4 linked regions of the Sus scrofa genome follow. The protein of the gene in region 2 purifies or fractionates together with the protein of the main gene of each other region. This does not show direct contact. Links are inferred from orthologs where the notes say so. Each region holds a gene or a part of one and is shown on either strand. Other genes may lie near its edges.

What was found.
Region 1: the proteins of CRKL (region 2) and SOS1 purify together in Homo sapiens (affinity purification with mass spectrometry; 3 studies listed by BioGRID and IntAct, with this or other methods). This does not show direct contact. The link is inferred for Sus scrofa from reciprocal best matches to the Homo sapiens genes CRKL and SOS1.
Region 3: the proteins of CRKL (region 2) and NEDD9 purify together in Homo sapiens (affinity purification with western blotting; 4 studies listed by BioGRID). This does not show direct contact. The link is inferred for Sus scrofa from reciprocal best matches to the Homo sapiens genes CRKL and NEDD9.
Region 4: the proteins of CRKL (region 2) and GAB2 purify together in Homo sapiens (affinity purification with western blotting; 3 studies listed by BioGRID). This does not show direct contact. The link is inferred for Sus scrofa from reciprocal best matches to the Homo sapiens genes CRKL and GAB2.

Annotation. Positions count from the first base shown.
Region 1 is NC_010445.4:101,318,791-101,326,692, reverse strand, and holds part of SOS1 (son of sevenless homolog 1), read right to left. Parts: intron 3,855-7,902; coding exon 3,727-3,854; intron 2,933-3,726; coding exon 2,277-2,932; intron 1-2,276.
Region 2 is NC_010456.5:50,550,543-50,558,051, reverse strand, and holds part of CRKL (crk-like protein), read right to left. Parts: intron 2,653-7,509; coding exon 2,518-2,652; 3' UTR 1-2,517. UniProt on the Homo sapiens protein: May mediate the transduction of intracellular signals.
Region 3 is NC_010449.5:7,808,606-7,816,507, forward strand, and holds part of NEDD9 (enhancer of filamentation 1), read right to left. Parts: intron 7,774-7,902; coding exon 7,672-7,773; intron 6,415-7,671; coding exon 5,188-6,414; intron 3,639-5,187; coding exon 3,549-3,638; intron 698-3,548; coding exon 188-697; 3' UTR 1-187. UniProt on the Homo sapiens protein: Scaffolding protein which plays a central coordinating role for tyrosine-kinase-based signaling related to cell adhesion. As a focal adhesion protein, plays a role in embryonic fibroblast migration.
Region 4 is NC_010451.4:12,847,006-12,855,408, forward strand, and holds the start of GAB2 (GRB2-associated-binding protein 2), read right to left. Parts: upstream 4,419-8,403; 5' UTR 4,249-4,418; coding exon 4,174-4,248; intron 1-4,173. UniProt on the Homo sapiens protein: Adapter protein which acts downstream of several membrane receptors including cytokine, antigen, hormone, cell matrix and growth factor receptors to regulate multiple signaling pathways.

The sequences.
Region 1 (7,902 bases), on a different chromosome or scaffold from region 2:
CTTAAAGAAGTTGATGAAGACCAACTAAATAGGTTATATTAATTACTAAAAATTGTATCTCTCAAAATCAGTAGGTCATATTCATTACTGAAAGTTGTACCTCTCAAAATCAGTTTTATATGTAAAGAAAGATGACAGAATAACCTATTTCATTTTCATGTAAAACCCTACACAGCTTATTTACATTTCCTGTACTTTGATTTATTTTTTATTTTGGGGTCAGTAAAATGAATACACTGTCCACAGAAGTTTCAAGATGAAAAATCACTAGTAAAACTGCAATCCCTAGAGTCTTCTTTAATTATATCCAGCATGTTTCGGTACTGCCTGCTACTACCAAATGGTAAATCTTAAAATAAATACTCTTACATATTTTGAATGGATATCACTTTTCTGTTGGGATCCTAAAGATCCTGAGGCTTGGCCTTACTTGACCAGCCACTGCCCAACTAAAGGTTAACAGTTCCCAGGGAAATTCCTGATTCTTGCCTCACCAAGTCTCAGGAAATGTCGGGGTTGAATGCATTTTTCAATATTTGCTTAGACTCACACATGGTACCTTTCTTGCCACAAGCTATAGCACAGATCACATATGTGGCTCAGATCCCATGTTGCTGTGGCTGCGGCATAGGCTGCAGCTCCAACTCCAATTCTACCCCTAACCTGGGAACTTCCACATGCCACAGATGTAGTCGTAAAAAGAAAAGAAAAAAATTCGGATACTCAATAATGTAGCACTCCTAACATTAATTAATAATATAAGCTACCAAACTGCTTTTAAAATTAGCCTATGGAAAACTATTATTTTACCATGGATAAGGCTAGCAAAAGAACTACCAATTAGAGGCCAAATAAAAACTAAAAACAAAAAACTGGCTTATTTACCCCAGAGACATGTGGAGATAATGAAACAGATTTGTTTTGTAGTGTTTTGATATTACTGACAAAAATATTCTAAATTTTTTGCAAGGTGGCCTTGATAACTTCTAGGCCACGTAAGTGATTCAGAATGAACATTTAATAAATTGAACAGGTTAACATTATCAAATACCATTCATCGTTGTTACAGTGGATTTGTTAATGGATATCTTTTAAAAGTTTAATCTAACTGGTGCCAGAATAGTTTCCAGAGAGAATTGAGAACCCTTTGTAGGACTTTAAAAACTGGAGGAATTTCCCAAGAAATACACATCTCTTGGAGCCAGAATATATTTAAACAAAAAGTATGGGGATAGAGGTTAACTTACATATTCAACTATTTAAGAATTGCATTTATAAGAGTTATGCTTGATTTCATATCTCTTTGTAGTTAAAGTATTCTTTGAAAATAAGTTTATATTTATAAAGAGCTTTAATGTATTTTATTTCATTTATTCTTTCCAACAATATCTAAGGTGGCTGTTGTGGTACTGATTTTTGAGATGAAAACTAAGGTTCTAAGGCCTTAACGAACTGTGATAGAATAAGGGTATGAATCTAAATTCAGTGCTCTTTCCACCGTATTTTACAACAATCAAACTTCCTACTATGTAGGGAAGTTGAACAACACTTTGTTGTTCACTTGTTACTTTAATAGAATAAAGTTACCTATAATAAATGCATCATTATATTTGTTCCTTACCTCTCAAATATTATATGCAGCCAATTTAGAAACAAACATATCTCAATCCCTCAGCCCAAGCCCCTATGTTTGTCTCTAAAATGCCCGCTAAGAAGGTGAAGTTGTTTTCTAAATAATATCACTTCTAAAAAGTAAAAAATACTGAAAACCTAAATGACTCCCAGGATTGTTAAATTTAATAAACTTTAGGAATGGAAATTAAGAAAAAGCAATGCTGTGCATATTTGTACTACCAGCACAATTTTGGTTATGGATGTATATTAAAATTTTTACTGATTTTATAATCTCAGTAATAAGAGAGATAAAAAAAAAAAAGAAACAAAGGAGAAAAAAGATTTTTAGACCCTAATGATCATGATTTACCACTACTTTTAGTCTTAATTTTGCCACTAACTGGGTAAATTTAGCTCAGTAACTTCATTTATAACTGGTTATAAAGTTTAAAAACAACATATGTAAACGTGGTAGAAAAAAATATAAAATTTCAAACTAAAACAAAGTGAAAGTATTTTAAATCAGAAGAAGATGAACTCTGATAATGCGGAGGTCTTTTGTTGTTAGTCTGATTTCTATTTTAGGCACAATGACCTGTGCAGCGAAGAAAAATCAGCCTGAACAGGAAAATAAAAGTGATAGGCAAGTTCATATTTCTTACCTGCGTACATATGGTATGTGAGCCTCTCTATAAGTTTAATAACAGTTCCTGCTTTGATAATTGGAATTCCAGCTTTGGGCTGCATGTTTTCTTCAAATATGATATTTTCTTCAGAGTCAGGCTCTGCAAATCTATAAACATCAGCACTAGGAAGCCTCATCTGCTCCTCCTTTTCTTCCTGTAGCATTGTCACATCAAGCATCCTTTCCAGTGTACTCCGGTACTGTAAAGATATCAACGCTGCCATCCAATTGTTTTTCTCTTCAGCTGACTTGGCAGAAAATATTACACTATTTTCATCTTTTAAAATTATTTCAAAAGCATGCTTGTACTCACTGGTGTCATCTTTGTCATTAATTTGTACCTTTCTCATAAAAAACTTTTCTTTAAGACGATATTCTGCATTGCTAGCACCAGGAAGTCTTGGCTGCCCATGATTTGATTTACAGCAAATCATTAAGCCATCAAAGAGAAATATGTGTCTCTCATGTTTGGCTCCTACACGTGTAAGAGTTCCTTCCATTATAAACTCATTGCAACACTGTCCAATGTCTTTTCCCTCCCAACCATCAATATTCTTCTGAATCTCGTTCATTTTCTTGATTGCTAGTTGTTTCCCCTTCATTTGTTGACTATAAAACCGACATGCAGATTCACTGGGATAAAGGAAAAAACAGTTAGTACACAGAAGACAGGGAATCTATAATTCATGTAAATAAATGGAAATGCAAAAGTATATTTAAAAACATTGCATTGAGAAGGTTTTCACTAATTCTCCAAATATGTTAGTGTTAACAGAACTGCACAATTTTGGAAACTAAATCAATACCGTAGAGACATTTTTTTTTTTTAGTGCTTTAAAAAGAACAGTTGGCTATTGACAAAATTCTCCCCTATAAATTTAGCTACAGAATGATTATTTCTACTACGGCTATTAAATACTTAGAATGACAAATATTAAAAAAGTAGCCCAATATAGTGAAAAAAAAAAAGAGATTAAAGTAATTTAAGAGATTAAAAATTATCTAGGAATGCTTAAGTGGACAATATCTAAAAGCTAAAAAACATGCACACATAATAACTAGGAAACTGGAAGTATATTATCTGAATTAATGCCTTGAGTTACAAAGTCCCTAAAATAAAGAACACTACTAATTTTATTTTCAGAGATTGACATAAACCTACCCAATACATTGTATTTCTCCTTTAGCTTACCAGCTGATTCTCAGGAGGTCTTGTCTGGGAGTATGCAAGGAAAATGCACAAATATGAAAGGTTTTTCAAACAATAACAAATTCTCTTGGCTTTGATGTCACTTCCTTTGAAAGACCAAGCTTGTCACTAACACTATTTTCTTCATTGTTTACTTGAGTAGGGACTAGGATCCCTTAATTTATACCACAATATTCAGGGTGAAAAGGAAGATAATTTAAAAAGTGAAATTATTCACCTCAGTCTTCGTTTTGCAAGACTTTTAGAACATATTTTTTCCATACCACTCTGAACATTAAGCAAAGCTGTTATTGCTTGTTTCAAACATTCCTTGTCTTCTTGATCTTCACTCTTCTCTTCTAACTGCTGCAAAGTAAAAAATGACAAATCTGAACAAGCAGAACAGTTCTGTACAAAAAAATAAGCCTATTTTATTTAAGGATAAAGATAACATTGATTCAACTCTTTCTACTGTAATACATTTTAAACGTCATAAAATATACTACTCTTTTAAAAAGTCTTCCTATGTATTACTATCCAAATCAACATCCCACCAAGTTTTCCATGTTAAAAAAAAAAAGGAGTAGAAACAGTGTTAAAAGACATCATATCTTGTGATAGGGAGTAATGTGCAGTTTCTCAGATGCATACTACCAAAAAGAAATGAGGAGGAAAAATTATCTTTTAACTATCATAGGACGTGGCACAGAAGTAAACACACAGGTGAGTCTTTTTTGAAGTGTGTAATTTGCTCTTAGAATTCTGATTCCCACACTACTGCTGTAAGCAATGGGATGCTATGCAAGATAAATATACAGAGAATGAAGCAACATAGTGGAGAGGAACCTGAAGACACAAAACCTAAGATAAAATTCAACTCACTTTCGGTGTGATCTTTCAGGAAAATTATATGACTTCTGAGCCTCATATTTCTTATATGTCAAATGAGGCTTATAAAAAGCTTCCCCAATCTATTTTATGGCGTTGTTATTAAAAATGAAAGCATTCTGTAAATGTACAGTGTAAGTTGTTTTCTTTGCAGTTCTACTACATAATTAATGTTACTATCATGAAGAACCTTGTCAATATTCATATGTTAAGATTTTGAATAAAACTAGGATCATACATGTTAGTAAAACTCAAGCACGTTTTCAATCAGTGGCTAAATATATTACATACGCTGGACAGAAGAGTCTGTTTTTAACAAGGACTGAGTCATCAATAATGGCTAATTATCATTGCGACAAGGTGGTGGTAATTCAAAAAAGCAATTGAGTTATGAATGACAATAGGTGACAATAATTCAGTAACCTTATAAATCTGTTTGTGGCTACCAAAAAGGAAAAGTTAAGAAACTAACATATTTTTTCTGGCCATGCCTGAATGTGGAAGTTCCCAGGTCAGGGAGCGAACTCACGCCACAGTAGTGACAACACTGGATCTTTAACCTGCTGTACCACCAGGGAACTCCAAGAAGTAACATTTATTAATAAAGCTTTCATACAACATTTAAGAACAGTTACTGTCTATCATAAAGAAAAAGACTTGAGAAAATCATAAAAAATTCAAATTTACAAAGGCTTACTTTTCAATGAGCTTCATTATTCATTAGTACTTTTTGTTCTTGAGAGTTCTTTTTTTTTTTTTTCCTGTCTTTTTAGGGCTGCACCTGCCGCATACAGAGATTCCCAGGCTAAGGGTGAAATCGGAGCTATAGCTGCAGGGCTACGCCACAGTCACAGCCACATGTGATCTGAGCCCACCTGTGACCTACACCACAGCTCATGGCAACGCCAGATCCTTAACCCAGTGAATGAGGCCAGGGATTGAACTGGGGTCCTCATGAATGTCAGTCAGGTTCGCTAATTGCTGAGCCATTACAGGAACTCCGAGAGTTATTTCTTAAAGAATAATAACACATTTCTTTTTTGCTTGAACTGATACAGATTAGTTATATATACACATACATATGATGTATATTGATGACCTATGAAAAGTAAACATATTCTTACTCAATGCTCCAAACCATTTTTACAAAAATAACTTATTTAAAAAAATGGTTTTTTTTTTTTTTTTTTTTTTTTTGGCTTTTTAAAGCCACACCCATGGCATATGGAAGTTCCCAGGCTAGGGGCTGAGTCAGAACTACAGCTGCCAGTCTACGCCACACCTTAGCAACTCGGGATCCGAGCCTCATCTGTGACCTACATCATAGCTCATGGCAATGCTGGATCCCTGACCCACTGAGCAAGGGCAGGGATCAAACCTGCATCCTCATAGATATGAGTTGGATTCATTTCCACTGTACCTCAAGGGAACTCCTTAAAATATCCTAATACTCAAATATTCTAGAAGTAATAAATACCATATTATATCTATTTAATTCTCAGGTTTTATTATCCAAATATCTTATATCCATTATTTAAAACTCACCATGCTTTCCACTATAACAATAATCTGCACTCTTTAGAAAAATATTCAGTCTCAACTGTGTTAAGTAAAACAAAAACCCATTCACAATAATTTCCAACATAAAAGGGGGTGTGTGTATGTGAGACAGATTCCAAAGGATAAGAGACTTAAAAACAGACACATTTAAAAAAACACGTCAATATCTTTTACTCAAAATATTTTTCTTCACTATGGCCAGCTAGATTAAAGAAAGCCAAAGGCCATATTATTCATAAAGAAAGATACTAGGTTTTTACTTAATGGATACCTATCTGCCTCTCATATGGCAGAATTTCTGGAATGAAATGAAATGCTACCATTAACTTTAAAAGGTTTAGGTTTCAAAGGCAGCAGTCAATCTAACACTGATAGCAATATTAAGAAAGGGCAAAATTCTAAATGATGTAGTGAAAGCACCATTAAAGAGTGAACTATTTCACTGAATTTTTTTCAGAATTTAATCACTCAGTATTCAAGTGGATATCAAGTAATTTTTTAAGTCCTGAGTTGACACAAACAGTAGAATATTACTGAATCCTTTATATTTTGACCTTTGATATTTTTTACATTATTAATTCAGCCACACATACCTAAACTTATACGTAAACACAATTCTCTTTTTTTTTTCCTTTTGTCTTTTTAGGGCTGCACCTGCGGCATATGGAAGTTCCCAGGCTAGGGGACTAACTGGAGCTGTAACTGCCGGCCTACACCACAGCTCACAGCAATGCCAGATCCTTAACTTGCTGATGCAAGGATCGAACTTGCATCCTCATGGATACTAGCTAGGTCTGTTATCTCTGAGCCTCAACAGGAACTTCCACAGAACACAATTCTAACACACATAAAAATAACTGTGAAAGTAACAAATCCATTTAGACATGCATTTGACTTTCTATTCTAAAAATGTTTCAAGTTTCTGGGTCATTTGTCTACCATTAACTATAGAGAATTTCACATATAGAATATACTGGTATCTCAAAAATATTTTTAATGTATTTTAAAATCACATACCTAAAATCTACTTCAAAAACTGTAAAACTTTACTGTTGAGAAGATTGTTTTTAAATGTAATATTTACCTACATAGCATTAGTTAATCATCTAAGACAAACTTCAATGTAATAAATGACCTTTCATATAAACATCTTTGCTTCTTTTACTTAACACAGCTGATTTAAACTGGGTATTGATGCTGAGTGATTCAAGCTAACTATTATCAAAAAGAGTGGCTTAGGAGTTCCCGTCGTGGCGCAGTGGTTAACGAATCCGACTAGGAACCATGAGGTTGCGGGTTCGGTCCCTGCCCTTGCTCAGTGGGTTAAGGACCAGGCGTTAGCATGAGCTGTGGTGTAGGTTGCAGACACGGATCCCGCGTTGCTGCGGCTCTGGTGTAGGCCGGCAGCTACAGCTCCGATTCGACCCCTAGCCTGGGAACCTCCATATGCCGCAGGAGCGGCCAAAGAAATAGCAAAAAGACAAAAAAAAAAAAAAAAAAAAAAAAAGAGTGGCTTATTATTGTTACAGAAACAAAGCAGTGGCAATTAGTATATAAATGAAACTCCTTTTGTTACCAGTGATATTCAACACCATGCTTTTCATAGGTGCCTACTTAACGACATTATGTATTAACAACTTAATTTTACAAACCCAATTAGTTTTATTAGTTTATGAAATTATATTTAAACTCATCCAGAGTATCATATTCTAAATCACAATGGTAAGTCATATGATCTAAACAGATGATAAAATTTACACTTTCAAAAGAAAGGAGCCACTTCTACCAGATTTTTTTTGAGAGAGTCCTTTAGAAATATGTAGAAGGAGCAATAGTCAATATGGTATATTGCATGTCCAAAGAAAATTCTGAAAGATAAATAGGATTAAATTTAAGAAGCTGTGAACTGCGATCCTTTTTACAACCAGTCACAAAAGATCACAAAAGGCCAAATAAATGTATGATT
Region 2 (7,509 bases):
CAAAAATAAAATGTTCCTCTGGGCAAACACTACATGAGCCATGGCGGTGGCCCGAATCCGCCTGGCCTGCACACAGCTGGGGGAGAAGTCAACACAGTGCCAGCTGCCTGGGCTCCAGGACAGAGCATAGGAAGTGTCCCATGTGGGTGACAAGTTGTCAAGTGACAGCCAATGCCTTCTTTTCTCCGTTACCTGTCATCACGTGGCACCACGCTGGGTAGAGGTGATAAGGATGACTCCTGTGCTGGAGATCCTTCTCAGGATAAGTTTTTAGTCAAACTGTCAATACTCTTTCATCCATGTTTTGTTCTTTTCCCAAGAGAGTTAATTTAACATCCTTGTATTTTCTTCACTGACACACAGGGGAACAGAGCAGTAGCCACAATGAACAATCCTAGAGAGGAAAGAAGCCCACCAGGAGGGAGGGCAGAGCTCTGGAAGATTCCAGTCCCCTCTGAAGCAGTCTTCCAGACCCTAGGGGCCCAGGCCCAAAGCCAAGGCAGGGTGCTGTATTTTTGTCTATTTAGTGTGGGGAAAAAAAAAAAAAAAATTCCCCTGCTTTATGAAAAAACTACTCAGGTGCTAAGTGGAAAGGGTCCTACTTCTGGCACACAGCCAAGAGTTCAGAACCCAGGGCTCGCCTCATCTCAGGCTCCGAACCTCCTGGCAGCCCTGGAGAATGTGCAGCGGCTGAAATACCGAGTAGACCCAGGTCTGTGGGGGCTCGGACTCTGGCTGAAAGGAAACCTTGCTTCCAATATGGCCATATACTTCTTACACTTGAGCCAACTACTGTCACTAACAGCTGCCCAGCATCTCAGCGAAATCTAGTGTGTGGCCTTAGGGTGTGTGCCCTCTTTGAACAAGGCACACAGTCCACATTCTGTATTCAGACCTGGTCACTTTCAGGCAGAGCACAGGGACCCTGCCACCCATGTGCCACCTGTCGTGGGGCTGGGCTGGCTGGACTCAGAATGGAAGGCAGCCACAATGGACATGCACCTTCTAGGCAGGAGGCAGCCACAGTTCTCACTAATCAGCAACAGCCCACAAAATGGACCGTGATATCTGAACACTCTCAAGATCCTTCAATATGATGGTTACCTCCCTGATGGAACACTTGATTCAAGAGAGTGAGAAACGCTTACCCTGTTGGTCCTATCACCAGAGTAACTGCTCTAACCTAAAAACTGGAGGCCCCCGGGAGCCAGGGCCATGGCTATAGCCACAATCAGTGGCTACCCCACCCCAGCTCCACTGTGTTCACTCCAGGCTGAGGCCTGTCCTGACCAGTGCCCAGAAGGGCAGGCAGAGCCAACAGCACCAAGTTTCCAGAATTCCAGTCCACGAACGGCCACACACTTGGACCAGCTGGCTTGTCTGAAAAGGTCTCCTTAACCAACAGGTAAACCTTAACATCAGACTGGCAAGTGAGTACTGATGCATCTGATGTCTCAACCATAAGATGTCAAATATATCAATTAATGTCTAGGGCCTGCATTTTCTTTGCTTGACAACATCTTGGACACAGGAGGGCTGGGACCAGCATTAGCAGCACTATCTTTCTTGGTCAGCCTGGTGAACTGCGCTGGGCAGGAGAGTGAACTGCAATCAGGGCACTGAGTGGAACTGTAAGATCCATTAACAAATTCAATGACTTTTTAGAGAAATTAGGGTCCTATACTTCAAAGGGGTACATGCGCTGGAAGGCTGGACAGAAAGCCAGCCAGGTGTCCTCCTGTCACTGGCAAACAAGGTGAACCACCCCCAACTCTGATGCCTTTGAGGACAATGTCATGCAAGAGGCTGTGCACACAGCCTGCAGTGCTGCGGCTGCTGTTTGGTTTGCTATCTGGCAGCACAAGATACTACCGGCAACCGAGACAATGAAGGCGCCTCTTCAGAGTTATCTTCCTCATACTGCGGCTTCAGTTTAGAAGCTCAGGCACGTGTCATCCCTTGTATCATCACAAAAATCTAACCTGCTACTTAAAAACCTGTTCAGGACACACAGTCTGATTAATTAAGTCTTCCAAAACCAAACCAAAGAGCAAAGGGAAAAAAAGAAAAGCCAAGCCACATGTGGGGAGTTTAGGGCAGAATTCTCTCTCCTGTAAGGTCCACTTCCTCCGCTCTTCAAGGAAAACCATGCTGGCGACTGGGCCCTGTGCCATGGCTCACAGGGGGCAATGCTGGCCACAGGCTTGAGCTCGTGCAGGACGGGTGGTCAGCCCCAGGGACAGGCAGGGCACTAGCCAGAAGGAAGCCCTGTCCTCACCCCCCTCTCTCACTTGTGTGCCTCCACCAGTGTTTCCAGTTCAGATCCAAAGAACTCTAGAATCGTCTACTGACAACACGACTATGATACAAATGCTGGGCAGCCACCGTGAGCATTCCAATGTGTGTGAGGCTACCCGCTGCAGAAGCTGGATGATGGCAGTGCGTGGCCTGCCGCGAGGACACTTTCCCACCTCCAAGGAAAGCAGGACAACAAAGCAGCAGGCTGGGGCGGTGGCGTCACTCATTCTCATCAGGGTTCTGGGGGTCGATGATTTTGACGTGTGTGAAGGGGAAGAGCCCTTTGCGCCCATTCACCTCACCTTCCCACTGGCCGTTTATGTTCATCCGTGTGACTTTGACAATGTCACCGACCTGCAAGGGGGAGAAAAGACAAAGTCAGCATTTTCTCCAAAAACTAAATCACACACACTGTTCCATTTGTTCTTAGGACCCACTCATTCTTCTCAGTGCTTAAACCTGAAATCAGGCCATACCGAAGACACCAGGAACTACCAATAAGCCCAGGGTGCTTCTCAGCCCAGGATGCGCTCTGAGGCAGAGCTCGGTCTTTGCTCTCCCGGCTACTAGCTCCAATGGGACAGAATGAGCCCATGACTCTCCAAGAACAGTTCAACGCACACAAAAAGTGCACTAAAGAAAAGACCCATCTCCCCCTAATTTACATGGGAAGGGACTGCTGCCACCAACACCACATCTGGCCTGCTGCCTCCCTACCCAGCAGTGTGGACCCAGCTGTGGCAGTCCCAGGGGAAGGAATTCCACCTACTGTTAGAGGACAGGCACCAGGCAGGGGGTCTCTGCTCCTCAAGTGGCCATAGCAACTCTGACGAGTGTGGTTTTCAAATTGTCTGTGGAGACCCCAGAGATCTAAGGAAGTACTTTAAAGGTCCAACGAATGTCCTGCTGGGACTCGAATTTTTTAATTGTTTTATTAAAGTTTTAACCCAAAGCACAGTCAAGTGTGCTCCCACATTATCCTAAGCTGCCCTGCTCACTGCTGTTCACGTACACTTTCCTTCGAATGAAACTCTGTCTCATGTGTCTGACTGAAGGCTCACCCAAAAGTGCAAGGTCAAGGGTAAAAGATACCCCTCACCACTTGCAACAAAGAGCCTTCAGAAAGGAGCTAGCTGCTGGGGTTGACCAAGACTGCAGCTACCAGCTGCACTTTTTGTAATGCTTTCTGCCCACTGTCACAGTCCCCATCCCAATTGCCTCCCTAAGTTAGTCCTGTAAATCTCATCTTACATACACTGGGGTTCCATGCACGGTTTCATTTGGAAAGACGCATCTCCTGCCAAAGCTACTGGGCTAGCAAGCTGACTGCTGGCCTGATGTGACCAAGAACCCCAGAGCTGCCAGAGCAGCCCGACAAGTCCACCAGGTCCAGTGGGCCTGTGGACGTGCCTTCACTGAGAAGCTGGGCCCCGGGGGAGCCACACCGGCCTTTCCAGGTGGACTGCTGAGCCACTGCACGCTGAGGAAAAGGAGGATGCTTTCCGAGGCGGATCCAGAGGAGGGAGGCTATCTTTGAAGCATTCGTTTGAATGATTTCAAATATAGGGCTCAAGAAGAAGTGCCAAAATCTAGCCATCTTGTTTAAATAAACACAAGGTATCTAAGGTGAGGAAGAGCTCAACAGAGAACTGAACTCTAGACTCTAACACAGCTTGTGGTCCATTTGTAAGAAAGCACCAGTGAACAGCTCCTTGTGGGGGAGGAGGGCAGGAGACACATGGCTTAGATGAATGTACGGCTCCACACGGTAGCAGAAGCAATGTCCACTGAGTTGTACATTGGCAAGTTCGTCCTGACCTGAGCACATGGAAAGGGCTCAGGCTGGGGAGATACCCCAAGAGGATGGAGAGGAAATGCGCTCCAGCTGCAGTGTGGGCCTGGTGTCCAGTCAGTGGATACTGTGAGTCAGGAATCTGCCTGCAGGGCCCTTTCAGACTCGCTTTCACTCCCAATTCTCAACACACCTGTTGCCTGTAAGGCAGGCTGGAGCCCTCTCCAAGATCACGGGCTGGTCGGCCAGAGAGCAGGGGTACAAGGCCAGACAGCACTCATCCTGGCCACCGTTGTCCCTGCCACCCTGAACGGTGCCAGAGTGGCCTGGCCCATCTGCACCGAGCACCACTCGACTGCCCTGCTCCCCACCGAGCCACCCTCTGCCCCTGATGTCCTATCTCGAACTCCCCACTCTCCTCCCCACCCTGTACCTGCTCATCTCATCACTACTAGCTCATGGAACCAATAAATACCAAGTGTCTTGTAACCGCCCCTCCAACCCCCAACCCACTGAGAAAGTCACTGCTTCTGTGCAGAAAGCAGCGCTGTCACCAGATGGAACCTTTCACCTTGTGGAAACTGGGCTATTCGGGAGTATGTGACAAGATGACAATGGAAAAAAGAACTCTATCCCCTGAAGCTCCATACTTAGAACACAGTATAGTATAAATTCCGTTTTAAAAAAAAAGAGTTCCTGATGTGGCGCATCAGAAATGAATCCAACTAGAATCCATGAAGATGGGGGTTCGATCCCTGGCCTTGGTTCAGTGGGTCGGGGATCTGGCGTTGCCATGAGCTATGGTGTAGGTCACAGATGCAGCTCAGATCCCCTGCTGCTATGGCTGTGGTGTAGGCTGGCAGCTGTAGCTGACTCGACCCCTAGCCTGGGAACTTCCATATGCCAGGTGTGGCCATAAAAAGCAAAAACAAAGACATACATACACACATACAAGAAAAGGCAAGGACAAGTAAGAGCATGTGTGGGTGCCTGCCTATAGGAAGTTTCTATGAACTAGGGGGAGGGGCCAGACAAGCTAGTGACAATCCAGCTGGACCCTTCAGTAAAAGGGGTGATGGTCCGTGGTCACCCAAGCAGCATGTAGGTAGGCCTGCACTCAGAGGCAGATCCCACAATGACAAGATATTTAAAAAGAATAGCTGTGACAAAAAGGAAACAAAGCTATGGCTGTCTGCAGCTGATAGGAGCTGTTGGCAGGTGTCAGGACCAGTGGCTTCTCCCCAAGACTGAGGTTTTGGTTTGCCCCACTCATGTGGACTAAGATCAGTACCTAAAAAAGATACTTTGGGAATTTCTCAAAGTATAGGTCTTTTATCTATGCCTTTTCTATCTTCAATTGGACTTTAAATGCACAAAGAGTGTACATCTTGCCTCAAGTTTGTAATCTGAGGTAGACTTAGCTGATAGTTGAGAAATGTAGAAGAAAAGTCTCACCTTCCTAAAAACCTGGTCCTTGGCAGCCCTCTCCCATGTCCTGGAGGCCAGGAACAAGCTCTGACCTCCTGCTGACAACCCCACCTCTGGGCCCCCAGCCTCAACCAGCCTGGCCACCTTCCCGCCTCCGCAGCCCAATCAGCCCAACTCCCAACACCCTCCTCTCCCACAGCCTGACCCCTACCTACCACACTGGCTACTGCTCCCACCATTTCACCAAGGAATTCCCCGGCCCAGGCCAAGGGCCAGGGCCAGTCCTTGACCACTGATGCTCCACGGCACCCGAAGCAGGAGACTTCCCCTCCCTCTGCTGCCCCACCTTCTTTTTGTGATGTTCTGTAAAATCACCTGCCAGGTTTGTGGACAGCAAAGGCAGGTGCCTTGTGGTGCCCTAAGCTCTGACAGACAGGCCCAAGGAGGCTACTTTCCTGCTCCTCCTGCCCCCTCACCCCCAGCAGCACTCTCTGAAGGAGGGAGCCGGCTGTGTTCCATGTCACAGGTCTCTCGCAAACTACTTTCCAGGAAGTCTGCAGAATCAAGGAAAGGAGAGAAAAAACCTAAGGCTGCCATCCTGCAAATGCTGGAGACAGATGGCCAAGCAGAACAGCAAGGTTCTCAGAAGAGAAGTGACAGGCATGAGGGCCTAAGGACAGCAGAGGACAACACTTTTAAATATATACACAGAATTGGGTCACTACTGTTTCTGACCCCCTAACACCATTTCCCTGCACAAGAGCAACATCCAAAAGCCTGTCTCCAAGACTCTGCCCCGTCAGCTCCTGACTCCTCTCATCTCTGCCCTCACTTCATGCCTCTCTGCCCATGCCCACAGTCCCACCGGCTTCCTTTCAATTGTTCAAATTTGCCAGACTCATCCCCAGATCCAGACTCTACATGAGACCCAAGGACATGCAGTGCTGGAAATGTGATTACATAACTTCACAACTTATAATGCTAAAAATCACGCTCCAGGCTATTGCCCAGAATTGCCAAGCTGATCCTAAGAAACTTTGGGCCTCTGCTCGTCTTTCACAGTTGAAGACACACAAGCAACCTTGACGACCACAGGACAACCCCTGCCCCCTCAGAAGCACCCATCAAATTGCATATGCCCACAATGTGCAGAAAGGGCCTCCAGGCGGCAGCCACTGTGTGCACAGGACACACCTAAAACTAAGATCCAAGACCTGCAACCACAGGATGTGAGCAATCTCGCCTGTCTGCTTAAAGCAGGTGTTAAGGTGGGGCCTGTGGTGATTCATGCTATGACCTTTGGAGTGGGGAAGGGCTGACAAGAGTCCTGGTTCTGCCACTTTTAGTGGCTACATAACTGTGACAAACTACTCAAGTTGCCCAAGTCTCAGTTTCCTTTGACTTTGAAAGATTCTTGCAATAATTAAAGGAAGTAATTCTTGCAATAATTAAACTGAATGGGATTGTTAACCAGCACACCCATATGTAAATGGTGGCTGTTGGAGTTCCTGAATCTGACTAGCATCCACGAAGATGCAGGTTCGATCCCTGGCCTCGCTCAGTGGGTTGAGGACCCGGAGTTGCCGTGAGCTGTGATATAAGTCGCAGACACAGCTCAGATCCCGCGTTGCTGTGGCTATGGTGTAGGCTGGCAGCTACAGCTCTGACTGAATCCCTAGCCTGGGAACCTCCATATGCCACGGGTGCGGCCCTAAAAAGATGAGGGGGAAAACAATGGTGGCTGTTATTGGAATGGGGATAACTGAAAAGAACCCACCTTCCATCCCTGGAATCATGCCCCCACCCCGCTGCTCACCGCACGCTGGCCGAATTCCAGGAAGAACTGGAACCAGCATAGAGAAGTACTATACTAAAGTGGGTTTTCACCCTGTCAGTTAAGTCAAGGGGATGGGAAAGCTGTCATATTAGAGAGAAAGGAGGTGAGGGACAGGCCTGGAAACTGGGGGAGGCAGCTGAGGAAGACAAAGGGA
Region 3 (7,902 bases), on a different chromosome or scaffold from region 2:
GGTGTGTGCATAAGCAAAGAAAAGAAAGTCTCCCCGGGAGCTCCCTGAATTTCTGAATATTGGCTAACCCACAGAATGTTAACAAAAGTTCATTTTCGTATCAAATATCTACAAAAATAGAGACGCTTTACCAAAACCAGAGCCCGCGTCCAGGTGTCCGCGGCGGCCCGCTGCCCCCCGGGCCGTCTCAGAACGTGGCCATCTCCAGCAGCGAGCGCTTGAAGAGCTGCGCGTGGCGGGACAGGTCGGTCACGTGGTGGACCATCTCCTGCAGCGCCGGGGTGCTGGGGTAGTGCAGCGCGGCCGTCTTGGTGGCCAACACGATCGTCTTGAGCTGCTCGCAGAGCTGGTTGCTGGAGTTCATGACTTTGTTGCGGATGTCCTGGGCGGCCACCTGCCGCGTCAGCGTGTCCCCGATGAACACCAGTTTGTGCGCGCTGAGGATAACGAACTTGCTGTGCGCCACGAAGATGCGCGGCGGCTGCGCGGAGCTGACGCAGCTGAAGAGCGCGTCGATGGCGTTGAGCAGCGAGATGTAGTGGGTCTCGCACTGGTCGTAGTAGAAGCACAGCAGCTGCCTGTCCTGGGCGCCCGCGCCGCTGCTGGCGGTGGGGAGGCTCTGGGAGGGCTTCCACTTGGACATGTCGTTCTCCACGGGCTTGGTGATTTCTTGTTCCAGCAGCTGGAACTGACTCAGCTGCAGGGAGGAAAAGAGCAGACGGCCTTCAGGCTGCGGCAGGGGGCTGGCATGGACACGCAGCAGGGCTCCCCGTTAAAAGGCAGGGATTTGCATCCCTGCGCAGAGTCAGGGGCCTATTCGATGCTAAGCCGGGTCTAGCTGCCCTGCATTCCTAACCTGTGAAAAGTAGCCGTGGAGGGAGGTCCCATGGCCAGCAGCAGACACGAATCCCACTGGTAGCCATGAGGAGGCGGGTTCGATCCCTGGCCTCGCTCAGTGGGTTAAAGATCCAGCGTTGCCATGAGCTGTGGTGTAGGTCGCAGACATGGCTCAGATCTGGCGTGGCTGTGACTGTGGCCTAGGCTGGCAGCTCTAGCTCCAATTCGACTGGTAGCCTGGGAACCTCCATATGCTGCAGGTGTGGCCCTCAAAATAAATAATAAAAATAAATAAGTAAGTAAATAAAAGGCAGAGGTGAGAAAGATGATCCCTAAGGAATCTGTGGGTTCTGACGTCTGTGGTTGGATGGTTGATCTCTCCTGCCCTCAGCCTGGAAGGCAGCCCAGGGTTTAAGCCCAGCTATTTTACCTACACCTTTACGATGGTTAAAAGAGTTAATAGTTGCCAAGTGCTTAGAGCAGTGTCGGGTGTGATGCAGGCTCTATGAAAAGCTTTATCAAGCACTGAGTGGGGGCAGGGGAAAGCAAATGCGGGGATCTCTTTGTCAGGTCACTCGCTGACGGGTGACTCCTTCTGGAGGAAAGTCTTGACTTTGTCCCTGCAAGACACTTGGACAAAGGACCGATCCTGTCTCCTACTCTTTCTGTCCAGATTTATACATGTTATTATCCAGCAGTACAGGGAAGACATGCATATAAATATATGTACACTATGGAAAAGAATATCTCTAAGGGAATCTGAATGCTGACTGTATCGTAACACTTAGCACCCTCCACCCCGAGCTGTCAAAAGGGAAAAAAACCTCACTGAGTCAGGCTCTCTGAGTATTAGCATTCGTCCTTCTCTCTGCACTGCCCCCAGCTGGTGTGTTATTTAAATTGCAACGATAATAATTTCCAGCTATGGCACCACGTCTCTGGAGAGACTCTTCTTTTACAGGTAAGGACTAGTTAGTGACCGGAGTTTAGAACTCAGTCAGTCTTCTGCTGACGTAGGGCTGAGTCTGAGCAGCGTTAACAGCATCTCCCCCAAGAAATGCACAGCAAGCTTTTCTTTTCTGTCGACTCTGTTTTCTTAGGAATTACTGTGATTTCAACAAGTTCCCTAAAGCCCTGCAGTCTTACTTGGCCACATGCCAAGGCAAACGTAAACACACACAGGGTGATGCTTCAAGATATTTAGCTTATGCTTTTCCAAATATGTTCATAAATATACCATCTCTTTAGATGGAGGGGAGACAGACTTTCTCATTTTATAGAGAAGTAATGGAAGTTCAAGGAAGTTAAGTGACTTGCCTAAGGCCACATGGTTGGTTGGTCAGAAAGCAAAGGTTAGAGCTCTGGTTTCCTGAGCTCAGTGGCCATTTCATTTCTCTACATGCCATTTCATCTTATCTTAAAAGGCTTATACAACTGAAGGAACATTGTAAATTAACTTTAAAAAAAAAAAAAAGACATTGGGGAGTTCCCTGGTGGTGCAGTGGGTTAAGGATCTGGCATTGCCACTGTGGCTTGAGCTCGATCCCTAGCCTGGGAATTTCCGCATGCCACAGGCTCAGCCAAAACATAAATTTTAAAATTTTTATTTTTATTTATTTATTTTTTGTTTTTCCAGGGCCACACCCATGCCATATGGAGGTTCCCAGGCTAGGGGTCTAATCGGAGCTGTAGCCGCCAGCCTACGCCAGAGCTACAGCAACACGTCAGACCCAAGCTGCATCTGCGACCTATACCACAGCTCACGGCAACACCGGATCCTTAAACATTTTTTTAAAAAAGAAGAAAAAAAGGCTGATAAGTCCTCAATCCATTTCTCTTTATTTTTATGCCCCTATTCTAGCAATACCCATCATTATCTGCCCCACTCATGCCTAACTTTTGAATGAAATTGCCCTGCCTGAAGCCCTTAATAAATAGTCTTGGATATATTTTGAAAACATTGGATCCTGCCTTCCTGCCCTTAGAGTGTACCAAGAACAGCCAAGCCAGAGGCTTGTTTTGTAGGGGAGAGACACATAGGTAGGTAGATAGATAGACAGATAGATAGATGGATAGATAGATAGAGAGAGCGATAGATAGATAGATAGATATAGATATGGCCAGACTCTCTTTTTTAGGAATTTGATGACCCACAAAAGGAGATGACTATCAGATAAGGAAGCTGAGATAAAAACCTATCTATACAAAAGGCATCGAGCGGCCATTTGTAAAATTACAGGAGACAAATGAGGAGGTAAGCAGAGGAAACTGCCAGAAAATAGAGCAAAGAGAGGAGCAAAGGAAGTGTAAGAAGGAGAGGGATTGACAGCCCTAGTTCTTTCAGACGTGGCTATATCTTCATTTTTTGTTCTTGAATTCTCCGATTACGGCTTTCCTATAAACCTGTTTGCTAGGGCAACCTTGAGTGGGTCTGGCTCCTTGAGACCAACCGCTTTAACCCAAATAGTCCGAATATGTTCAATGTACAGACTTAGCCTGGAAAAACCGCTACCTCAACATAGTCCAGGTACACCCAGCTGCGTTACTAAGGTCGCAAACATTTTGTTCTCAGACCCTGTTATATGCCTTGGAGTTTACTTATGCCACTGCATACAGGAAAGACCAAAATCACGATCTTTTGAAGGCATACCTTCCTTCCTAAGCGGGAAATCTTTTCCATACCCAGTAGTCTGGGTCCCGACTGAACGTACCTGGTGGTGTTCCAGCTGCATCTTGTTCTGCTTGATGATGTTTTCCTTTTCCAAGAGCTCTTTCTGTTGCCTCTCAAACTCCTCCTTACCCTATGGTTTTTCAACATAAAGAAAACATTACATCATCACCATGACTCACTTCTGCTAACAATTTCATTGACAAACACATAAATGCTCTTCCATTTCCACGGCCCTGGCCATTCCCCACATGCCCGATTAGGCCCTGTGCACCCCAGACAGGGAGGACGAGCTTCTCAGCCAGACTTCAGAGTCACCGTGTAGAGGACGACTGAAAACTAAATCCATTTCCATGAGGGGCGCCATGCTCTCTGCTCTACTTTACATGTTTGGAGGGCTACCCCAATCCCCTTCAGACCTCCAGCAGCAGCACTGTTTCTCAGGGTTCTTTTCTCAGAGAGCCTCTGCAAATCCATAAACCTCTCAAGGTAGGTCTGAATGTGGTCCATGTTGCCTTCCCAGTGTCTTCAGCTCATTTGCAGCTCCACAGCAAATTAGGATTCCCCCCATGCAGAGCTGGACAACCAGCCAGGCAGAGAGTTAAGGCCTCCGTCTACTCTCTCCCACATTTTCTCTTAGCTTGAGGTGTGGCTCTGCTCTCCTCGCCCCAGCTGAACCCAAAAGAACTATAGTTTGTTCTATAATTCTCAGGATAACTCGTGGCTGTCAGTCATATTAAAAGAATGGCAGGAAAGTTCCTGTTGTGTCTCATCAGTAACTAGCCTGACTACTATCCATGAGGACACAGGTTTGATCTCTGGCCCTGCTCAGTTAAGGGTTAAGGATCCGGCATTGCCATGAGCTTCAGGGGCAGCTCAGATCCCAAGTTGCTGTGGCTGTGGGGTAGGCCTGCAGCTGCAGCTCTAACTCAACCCCTGGCCTGGGAGCTTCCATATGCTGCAGGTGCGGCCCTAAAAAAAAAAAAAAAAAAAGCCGAATAAGATGGTAAGCCAAATTCTAAATAATGGATCTTCATAGAATGTGTGACTCCCCCAGAGTGAAAAGGGCAAGCTGTCAGGATCCCAGGTCAACCTGGTGAAATGTCCACTTGTTAGAAGACTGACTGGGACGGCCCAATTTCCCATACGCAGGTTAAGTTCTAGGTCAACTGGGAAATGACCAGTGGTCTTCAAGGTAACTCTAGTGCAGAGGTTTTCAAAATATATATATATTTTTTTACCAGTGAAAGACCCCTATCCCCACGCTTTTTTCCCCAAATTAAATATGCAAAACCATATCATGAACTACAAATAGAAGTGGAGCTGGTATGATTATTCAAGGGCCCACTGTCCTACTCAGGGAATCTTCTCCTGCTTGCCTGAGGCGTATCAATCAGGTCTAATCCAACCCTGCGCTTCATTCATTCGGCACATGAGGAAATTGGGGGGGGGGTACGTAAGCTGGTGACACAGTCGGTGTCACGTGTAAGTCTAGAGGATGCAGGACTCTCTGGCCAGTATTTCTCCTAATGTCTGATGTTGCCTGCCGTCTGTGAACCTCCGTTGTGTTTCTGAATCACTAATCGTGGTCTCTCTCGGGCAGTCTAGCCCACCAGCCTTAGAGGCCTTAGTCCCAACCCATGCACGTGAATATTGCTGCTTTCTGAGTCTGGTTCCTTTACCTGGAGGTGGACGTAGTCATAGTCATCCATCCAGCTCCTCTCCGAGCCATCACTGCTGCTACAGTCAGGGGGCTGGTCCTTGCCCAGGCTCGGGGGCAATGGCTTGTTGAGACCGGGAGTCTTATGGTCCCCGGGATGCAGCAGGTGCATCTGGGAGCCCGTGTGAGGGTACTCGGTGTTCTCGGGCCCAGTTTTCCCCTGGGAGCTGCCAGGGCCGGGTATGAAGAGCGCTTCTGCGTTGGTGTTGATGGTTGTGGTGAGCTGCTTGGCATCATCCGGCACCGTCTTGGCCACCATCACAAACCGGTCCAGGTCATCACACTTGTTTTGGGGCTTGTTGATGGCCAGTATGTTCAGGGACCAGCTGCACTCATTTAAGTCATGGCTGGTCTGGCTCAGAATCTGGTGGGAGTCCTCCACCCTCTGGAGCTCCCGCTTCATCTTGTGGTGGAGGCTGAGTTCGGGGAGGCAGGCGGCATTGGCCACCGTGCCCTTGGCGAAGTGGAGGTAGTCCCTCAGGAACAGCTCCACCTTGTCCACGGCCGTGCGCAGCTCGTTGATGTGCCGCTCCATGTACCCGTAGCACCGCCACTCAGTGGTGACCAGCGCCATCAGGCTGGAGACGCCCGTCTCCAGGGTCTGCTGGAGCCGGTGCAGCCTCTCGATGGCCGTGTCTGGGTCCAGGAAGAGCCTTTTGTCCTGGGATGGGGAGGCCGACAGGGAGGACTCCTTGGAGGTGGTGGAGGACGTGGACATGTTGCTCCTGGTGCTGCCCGTGCTGGAGAAAGACAGGCGGTTCATGCCGTCCACCACGTCCTGGGAGCCCTTGGCGTCGGGCGGGTTGTGCAGCGGGACGTCGTACACCCCGTCCCTCTCCTCGAGCTGCGCCTTCTCGCGGCTTTCTGCGGGCGGCTGGAGGAACTGCGCCCCCCGGGGGACGTCGTAGGCGTCGCTCTGGGCGCCCAGGGGCGGCGCCGGCTGCGGGGCGGGGGCGGGCAGGGCGAGGCTCGGGTGTCTTCGCGGCAGGTCGGCCGCTCCCGGGGCCTCGCAGGTGAGCTTCCGGGGAAGGTCCTTGGCCCCGGGCTTGCTGCTGGCTGGGGGGACGTCATAGACGCCCTCGGGCCTGACGTCCGGCCTTCCGGCGTGTCTCAGGGGAGGGGGGAAGTCGTACTCCTTCTCCCTAAGCCCGGCCTCATCTCTGCAGGCAGCTGGAGGCCCGGCGTGGACCTGAAAAGCAAGCGGCAGGCGAGGCTGTTACTTGTGAGGTTGGCCCGGAACGCGCCTGCGGAGACGGCACTGATTGCTTGATTGATATATTATTTAGAAATTATGTATTTCTTTATAAATTATAAATTATTTATTTATTCCTTCCCTGAACTCTCTCTCTTTTTGCCTTTTCTAGGGCCGCACCCGCGGCATATGGAGGTTCCCAGGCTAGGGGTTGAATCACAGCTGTAGTTGCCCGGCCGACACCAGAGCCACGGCAATCTGCAGGATCCGAGTCGCGTCTGCAACCTACACCACAGCTCGCGGCAACGCCGCATCCTTAACCCACTGAGCGAGGCCAGGGATCGAACCCGCAACCTCATGGTTGCTAGTCGGATTCGTTAACTCCTGAGCCACGATGGGAACTCCCGGAAACGGCATTTAAATGAGGGCCGGGTTCTCCGCCGTCCTGTGCCAGCCCCTCCCGGCTCACTGTAGAGCCTCTGTCCTGCTCTTGCTCCCCCACCCTTTGGCCAGTCCATCCTCCCCCGGCCTCCGTGCTGCCGGCCGGCTGGGGGCCCTCCTGTCGGAGTTGCCCTCCAGGGCCCCAGTCCCGTTTCTGAGCACCTCCCAGGTGTCCTTCCGGGGCTGACTCAGGCTGGGAGGCAGATGCTGCACGAACACCCCGGGGCCTCAGGGTCATGAGACCCGAGGTCGCTCCCCGGCTCTGCCAGCCGTGATGCTGAATAAGATGCTTACACGTTCGGAGACACACTTCCCTCATCTGTAAACCAACTGTACTTCCTGTGCAGGCAAACCGCGGAACGAGTCAGGTGCACTAAGCCGGAGATAGACGGCCAGAGTAAGCGTCACAGGGTCTCTAATAGGGGCTAGAGCAGCTGCTGCCCAGCGGAATTATTTTATCTTCTTACTGGCTCTTCGTATGGACCACCTCATTTTTAGCGGGGTCCCCTAAATACGGAATTCCTGGAATTATCTTTACTGCTTTTTCTTCCTCCCTCCCTCCCTCCCTCCCTCCCTCCCTTCCTTCCCTGAACTCTCACAAAGAGGAGCCTTTCTTCTTTGGTTTTGCTTTATTACAGTGTGCACGCTAGGGGAGCATGCACACAGACAGACACACACACAGACACAGACAGATACAGACACACACAGACAGATACACAGACACACACAGACAGATACAGACACACAGACAGACACACACAGACACACAGACAGACACACAGACACACACACCCCCCCTTGCTGCTCACTTACCCCTTTGGTAGGAGGGATGTCATACACCCCTTGGGGCTTAATCTCTCCCACTGGAACTGAAAACACAGGGCCCTTCGCTGATGACGGAGGGAAGTCATAGACCTGAAGAGAAAGGCTGCAGTTACCCGGCATGGCAGTGATCTTACAGTTGTTGGTTTTCATGCCGCTCAGCTTTTAACGATGGGTTTCTTTAGCAGGTTATATATTCCCTTGCTCTTTGGCTGAATTCTA
Region 4 (8,403 bases), on a different chromosome or scaffold from region 2:
AAAAAAAAAAAAATGATGGTGCCAATGGGTTTTGGTGGAAGATTAGACTTGGGATGGTGGTTAGCAAGGAGTCAAGGACGCCACCCAAGTTTCTCGCAGAGCAAGTGGATGTTCAATGGCATCGTCTACTGAGCAGATGTGGGATGAGGAAGAGAAGAATAAAGAGGAGTTTAACTCTGGGTGTGGTGGGTTTGTGATGACGGGGAGACAGTCAAGTAGAGATGGCCAGCTAAAAACTGCATTTGCAAGTCTGGAGTTCCGAACACATCTCTGAGATGGAAATTTAACTCGGTAGTGACAGCATCCAAATGACAACTGAAGCCAGGAGAATAGACAGGATCTCCACGGAGGAGAAAAGAGCCCAGAGCATAGCCACCGTATCTAAAAAGGAGCTTCAACCTTTAAGAATTGGATAAAGAGGGTCAGTTTGGCAAAGAAAATTTGAAACGACCAAAAAAGGAGAAAAGTCAGGCATACATGGTATCATTCAAGACTAGAGGAAGGTGCTTCAAGAAAGAGTGAGTGGTCCATTATGATCAAGCAGTGAAGAAATAAAATAAGGAATGAAAACGACACCTCTGAATTTAGTGACACCTGGGCGACACTGGTGCCTTTCTGAGAATAGCTTTGGTGAAACGGCAAAGTAGGTTTCAGACTGGAGCCCACTGAGAAGGAGGCAGCAGAAATGGAGACAGTATTCGCAGTCACGAAAAAGTTTAGCCCAAAGAAAAAGAGAAAGCACAGTGAGAAGGAAGGGGTCTGACAATGAGGGAGAATTTTATTAAAAAGGAAGGATGTTTAAACACTGATGGAAAGGAAGCGGTGGAGGGAAAAGTTGAAGATTCATGGCAGAAAGGGGAAGAAGGCCCTAAATGGGCAGGAGAGAACATGTTCCAGAGCACAGCGTGCAGAGTTAGCCCAGTGATAAGGGGCACCTCATCCACTCTACGAATTCCAAAGAAAAACGAAATGAACCACACAAACTTGGGAATGTGGTTGCAGTGTGTGCAGATAGCTATCCCAAATAGCTTCATTTTCTTTGTGAAGGAGAAGGCAAGGTCATCCACTAAGACTGAACGGGTGGATGAACTTTTTTTTGGATTAACTTTTATTATCACTATCTAATCCAGTGCCAGGGACACAAATATCTAATTTAAAAAGCTTATTTAACAAATAAAATGAAAACAAGCAGTTTCTTAAATTCAGTTCTTTACAATCAATACACAACTTTCTCCAGGTTAACCACCAGGGGGCAGTGCTGCCACCAATCTTTTCCCCTAAATCTTCTAACCCAGAGAAAATAGAAAATTATAGGGCAGTAAATGTCATAAAATACGTTTTCCTCAAGAAGACACAGCTTCACCTTTTTATACATGTACATGTGTGTGTGTTCACCCACGTGCAGAGCATGCACATACTCATATACCCGCATATTCTGGCGTGACGGGAGGGCTGTTCCTTCTGCCAGCCTCCCACCGCAACCTTACTATGATGCCCCGGGGGCAATACTCACCATTTCCAGAGGTCACTTTCTGTAATCCCTCCAGAGCACACAGTAAATACTGAATAGACCTTTTACTCTTTCTTCTAATCAATAAATTGGAAAAGACACTGATTTCTTAGACACAGAATTCCCTAAAGCTAATCCTGCTAACATTTGCCATAGCTTCTTTCAAGTTATTTTTTCACCCCGACACCTACCTCCGCCTCAAATTAGAGGCAGGTTTTTAAATTAATTTTAAGCAGGTGTAATCTATTTCATAAGCTGCTTTCCCCCTTATTTCAGATGCTTGATACATTCTTACAATGAAGATTTATCAATCTCTAATACCACATGGCCATTATATATAGCAGAATAAGCAGCCATTGGGGGGCGGGGGGTGTTTTGCAACGGGGTTAGGAAATACTTCTTTCCTAGTTTGGGCCTGATGACCTTGGGCCTCTGCTGAACAGAGGGAGCTGGAAGAGTTCTAACTTAAAGCAAGACATTCTCAAGACCCTCAAAGAAAAGAAGATGCCAGGGAAGACTGTTCCCCAAGAGTTCAGGATCAAACAAATCAGCTCAGGTTCAACTAAGGGAACTGAACTTCCACAGGAGGGGCAATTTCCAATCATACCAATGACTCTAGCCTAAGAAAAGCTGCTGCTAGTTTGGTCTTATGGGATAAAGCTGCGAGGGGGGTGGGAAAAGGCTGAGGTCATCTTATGACTGCAGGGTGTCAAGTACTTCAAATGGGGGGAAAGGTGCTTGACCCTAAAGCCTCCACACTTGGTTATTTTGAGCTAAAGTTGCTTGGGAACGAAAATACCCATGAAGTGGACCATAAAGAGTCTAGGTGATTGAGCTGAAGCAGTCCTCAGTCAATGTAGATACAGTGGCAAACTGTTTCAGAAACGAAGTTTCAAGGTTGTTTAGGATGGGGTTCTAATTTAACAACTAAGAACATATTTTTATTGGATGCTTTATTCCACTGGCCAGGATGGTATGACACTTTAACTGATGGTTTTCAGAAGCTCTTTGGGGCCAAAGGATTTTGGTTTGGTTTTATATTCGTAAAAATACTAATAGCAAATTACTCTTCCTTAACCTCCCAATAGAAAGATTCACTTTTCCGAATGAACCCATAGAACCCTCCAGAGAAGTTTCTTAGTAATCAGAGTTCTTTGGCTACACAGACATCTCTGAAAATGAGCTTTAAAACCAAGATGAACACCTCATTGTCTCACCCCTACTATATTTAAAATCTATGTCTACTTTCAAATGTCATGCGCTAAATCCTTAGGTTTTCCCCCCAGCAAACGATCTAAATAAGAGCCTGATTTCATTTACATACACACTGGCTCGCTCTCCCCAACAACAACACTTCCTTTGAAAAACAGAATGTCACTTCCTCAATCCAGAGGCCAGAAGTCCCTCGGTTCTGATCTGGGGAGCCAAGACAGGAAACTCTGGTAAGCTTCTGCCTCTCCCCTCATGGAAAGCCACTGGTGCAGCTGACAGAGGGCAGGGTCTATTCCGAGCTCCCCTGATGCACTGCAGCTGGAAGGCAACAGCTCACTTCCAGGCTGTGGGAATGATCCCAGAGAGCCCGGCACCACGAGTCGGTTTAACAAGGACATATCAAAGGAAGGGACGAGGAGAGGGTGGCAAACTGGGACACCTTTTAGCTACCTTGCTTGCGTTTCCAGACTCAGGCGAACAGCCCAGGACTGATTTCAGCCAAATCTCAGGGACTGGCCCCATCTCGTACTCTGACCCCACCAAGCAGGACATCTTCAGGTGGAAGGGGAAAAAAAAGCCAGACCTCCTCACCGCTCCCACCGGGCTGTACCACCTTCCCCACGATACTGCCAGCCTCTCACCGAGAAGGGAGAGGCTGCCCCAGCAATTTCAGTAAACACGTCGCTTAGCACCACCTGGCAACTGAGAACCTTGATCTCTCCCGACCCCAGACGCCGAGGACCGCACAACACAAAACCCGGGCCAGTTGTAGCCGACCAAACTGCAGTGTCACTATCGTGGGGTGGTTGGGGAGGGGAGGAACGGGGGGATCCATGTGAGAGACAGACAGAATAAAGGGAAAGAAGGGGGACAAACAAATGAGTCACTTAATACAAGGGCTGCACATGCCGCTGACGCTGCCCGTGATGCAGAGGCTGTGGACTGGAAGGAAGCAGGCGGCCACCGGGAGGGGCGGGCAGAGAAAGGCAAGGGGGAAAGGGTGTGAGGCGCCTCGCCCTTTGTGGGGCCAGGCGGCGGGGCCCCGTAGCCTACGCCCCCCTTTCCTACTCGCTCCCCCAAGCCCGCGGGCTGAAGCCGCTCGGGGTTACTACGGTCCCCCGGCCCCGGGAATCAACTCTTTCCGGCTCCGAAAACAATCAATACAAACTTCAATAGTGCCTTTAGTTTGCAGGGAGGCTGGCTAGGGAGGCGCCGCCGCCGCGCCCGCCCCGCGGAGAGGGAGCCGCAGCCTCAACCTGGCCGGCCGCCCGCCCCGCCCCTCGGCGGCGCACCTGTGACAGGTGTGCAGGTACCCCGCACAGCCCCGAGCCGCCCCGAGGCCCGCCCTCCCCGCCGGCGCCGGCCCCCCGGAGCCCGCAGCCCTCCCGCAGGCCGCAGGGCGCCCCCCGCCCGCGCCCTCGGCGGCCGCACCCGCTCTCGCCCGCACTCACATAGCGCCTCAACTTCTTCTCGGGGGGCGATTTCCTCAGCCAGCCCGTGCACACCACGTCGCCGCCGCCGCTCATGCTGCCGGCCGCCTGGAGCCCGCCGCGGGGTCGACGGACAAGGGCGCGGGCGCGGGCGGCTGGGTCAGTCGGCCGGCGGTGCGCAGCTCGCGGGGGAGGGAGGGCCGGGGCAGCCGGCGGCCGCGGGGCGAGGACGAGCGGCGCGGCGCGGGCCCGGCCGCCTGCGCGCTCCCGCTCTCCCCGCGCGCGCCGGCGCGCTCTCCCGGCGGGGCCGCGGCGGGGGCCCCGGCAGGAAGGGCGGCGCGCTCGCCACGCCCACAGCCCGCCGCGCCCCCGGGCGGGCTGTCTTCAAAGACGCAAACAGCGCCTGGCGTCTTCGGTTCCCAGAGGCCCGAGGCTCGCGAGGAGGCCGGCCGCACCCCCCCGGGTCTGGCTTTTTTCTCCCCCCGCCCTGAAGCCTCGAGGGGGCAGCGGGGGCGGCGGCCGCGCCCCTGGTGGGAATGGAGGTGGGGCGATGGGAAGGGACTGCGCGGCCTCGATCGCGAATCGATTTTTCACAGAGGGTCGTCGGGAAGAGACCCAAGGGCTGCTCCCGCTTCCTATCCTTCCCTGAGTTTCAGGTTTCAGTGGGTCAGGTTCTGGCTGAAATTAGTGATGCGCTTCCCAGCAAGAGTTCCATTAACTCTCTCGCCCCCTTGATGGGCGAAGGAAAGACGGAAACTACTGGGTGCTGGGCCCTTTGATAATCCTTGCTTAGATGACTGTCAGAGATCTACAACTTGGGCGGTGTTATTCCCATTTCACAGACAGCCTAAGGTCCCCAAGCCGGTGCAGTGCAGTCCGGTTTCTAATTCTGGGGGCGGGGGCAGGTGGGGGGGGTCCTGCTCTTCTGCTATTTAAGGTGGTAGAATTGTTTAACGTCTGCAGATGAACTTGGGGTCCTCTTATTACCAAGAAAGTCCAGCTGGCTCCCCCCTTGCCTCTGGGAAAAAGCAATTCAATAGAAAATTCTAGGGATTTGCAGAGTCAAGGAAGCCAAAGTGAGTCAATGTTCTATTTCATAGTGAATTGTAAGGCAAGGTGAAATTGGGGTCAAAATTCCCCGGACCTTCAACTCATTGACACAGGTTATGAGAACTCTCTGGAGCGCATATGACACAGCTACCTCTCTTACTGCGTTGCAGTGAGGTTTATTTAACTAAGATCGAACACGTGGACGCACACACCTGACAAACCCAGCACTTCAGGTGGAGAGGAGAGGGGAAAAAAACAAAGCCAAAACCCCAGAAACCTTTGGTAGGGGCTCTTTTCAAGTCAGAAAATGTCTTTACAAGCAGCATTAAAAGGTAGGTCCTCAAAAAGAATGACATATATGTACGACTGAGTCACTTTGCTGTACAGCAGAAACTGACACAACATTGAAAATCAACTATACTTTAATAAAACACAAAAAATTAAAAGGTAGGTCCTCCCCCAACTTCTTTGAAAAGTGGGTAGTAACCCACTACATCAATAGGGAAGCGCTGCAGGCAGATGAGTAGAACCAGCAGCATCTTGCACTCCCCATGACAAATTGAAGGCCACTTTGATCATTTCTCTATCTCCGGGCAGCAAAGCTATTGTTTTCAAGTAGTTGGACATCCTTCTGATTTATAGACCTTGGGTGGGTTGGGGAAAGCTCAACCCTGTCAGTTTGTAAAAGCTAATTCTTTATCGAATGCTTAACTCTTCTAAGCACTCTGGGGGGGTTTGGAGATCAGCAACTCTGGACCTAATATTTCACTTTCTTCACTATCCAGTGTGCTGCTGGATTGCATGTAAATCCAGAACAATCAGGCTACAGCTGGGATCAGAGCTCCTTAGCCTTCCAACTGAGGGATCCTTAAGCCTCATACAAGGACTACCACCAGAATTGTAGCCATTTTAACCTCTGGCTTTAAGTACCTTAAAACCCTGTGAGACAAATATCAAAATACTCAAAGCCTGCCAAATCAATCAGGAGGCGGTGACTCCCAACAAAAATAAAGCAATCTTCTGACTTCATTCACATCTGAGTCATGATGCCAAGTCTCAGGGATTGCGGAGTCTGAGAAATCTGCATGGTTTGTTCACAGCCGAGGTGTGTGACGCAAGTCAGGCATACACAGGCCCTATTTTTCCCTAGAAATGCAGTCTTCTATTACGTATCTTTTAATAGTTAGATGATTCCAGATAGACTGGGGGACTATTCAGCAACGGTTAGTTGGGAGTGGGGCTGCACTGCTGCCAGAAATTCTTTAGGGTCTTATTTTGTCTAGCAAAGTCCCCCCCCCCATGTTGTTATTTACAATTCCATGTGGAAACAGAAATTTGATGTTTTCAGGCCAATGACAGGAGGGGACTTGAAATAGTACAGTTACATAGTATCAGCTTCAGAAGTCTTCTCTGAACATACCCCTCCAAGAAGCGGCTCTTCTTGGTGCTCTCCCCATCTCCCAACCTTTTCCAGTACTAAGCGGCCAGCACAGACTGTACAAGGGAGGGGGGAATGCTGCTGAGGTCCCTGGCTGCACCTCCCTGTGGCTCAGTCTTCTGAGACTGAGGTTCGTGCAAGGCCTGGAAACAGCCTTTGGACAGAACGTTCCTGTCTGGACCTTTACTAAGTCCTCTCCATTCCCTGGTTGTTGTTGTTGTTGTTGTTGTTTTAAATAATGCTCCCTGATTTTCACTGGGGAAAAATGGAACACAAATTGAGTGATTTATTTATGCGAAGATCGGCGCCATCTATCGGAACCAGTTGGGACGACAGCTTTCTCCCCTCCCTCCCAAAGGACATGCATCACTAGTCTCTAATTTAGGCAATTTTGATTAAAGACCACTGGTATTTCCTGAGGGAATTAATGACCGGATGCTAGGAGCTCTTTGGGCCATTAATTCTACATTCTCGTTAAATCCCCAGGAAATGGCCCGTTGTATGAGGGTTTCTTCGGGGGGAGCACTGCAAAACTAGAGAAATGCACACCTGGGAGGAAAGCCTGGGCACCACGGTTTGCCCTGCCCCTCCCCCCACAGAGCCCGCCCTGTGGCTTAGAGGGTCGTCAGCGGCAGCCTGCCTGCGTGCCTGTCTGGGAGTTGAGGGTTTGTGGCTGGTGGCAGGTGCATGGCTGGTGGAACGCTCCCAGGAATGAGTTGGAAGCGCTGCAAGGAGAGCTGTCCTCAACTGAACACCAGGCTGAGTGATTAATACCGCCCACACCAAGCCTGACGTCAGTGATCAGACTGGGGGTGGGGATGGATGTTTGTGTCCTAGCCCTTCTGCCTTTTCTCCCTTTCAATTGAGTTGACAGGTTCATTTCAGAGCTGAGTGCTGCTTACCAAGGTCAGTATGACCAGCTGGGCCACCTCGGCTGGTGACTTTCAGGACACTTGTCTCTCAGGCATCGAGGATGCCTTTTTAATCCCTGGGTGCTTTTAGCCCATTTGATTCCCTCCATCAAATTACTTGGACCTAATCAACTTTTGGCATCTGGATGGGATGGAGATCTGGAAGTGGGCTCGGGCTGTGGCTGGAGACCTAATTGGGTTTCCTCCCTGTCTCAGGCTCCTAACACTCTGGGGTTGCCTGATACTACGCCCAGTGGGAGACATTTTGGAAATAAACTTCCTTAAAAAGAAAGGTTTGAGCAAGTGCTCCCCAGTTTCTCCGTTGTAACTTGTGCTATTTGTTTGGGGGCAGCTAGGCTCTTGAGATAATTCTGCTGACAATGGTGGGGGTGGCGACATCACTGTAGTCACAGATCATGCTGCAAAATCGGTTATCATATTCTCCCAAGAACAAAGACCACCAGGGTCCCTGGGAAAGTGTCTTAGGAGTCCAAAGCCTCCTTTGCATGATGACCCTTTTCTTTCTAAGAGAACGCTGGCCTTGATTTCGGTCTTGCACATACATCAAGACCCCTTTCCCTAAAACGCACCAGCCCCAAGCCCCAACACAGTCGCTCATTCTTTCCTTAGACTCACCTTGCACCTATATAAATTAGGTGAACGCACTGTACCGCGAGTGTTTTTCAAGGAACTGTCGGATCCTTGCCGGCAGGACTGTGTCATCCTCATTTTGTACTCCCCGAGCCTCCCAGCATGGTGCCAGGCACAAAACGATGCTCAGGAAATGTTTGTTGTGAGAACAAAGAAAGCCAACTCTTCAAGGATGCCAAGAGGGAGCGATGGACGCCTGGG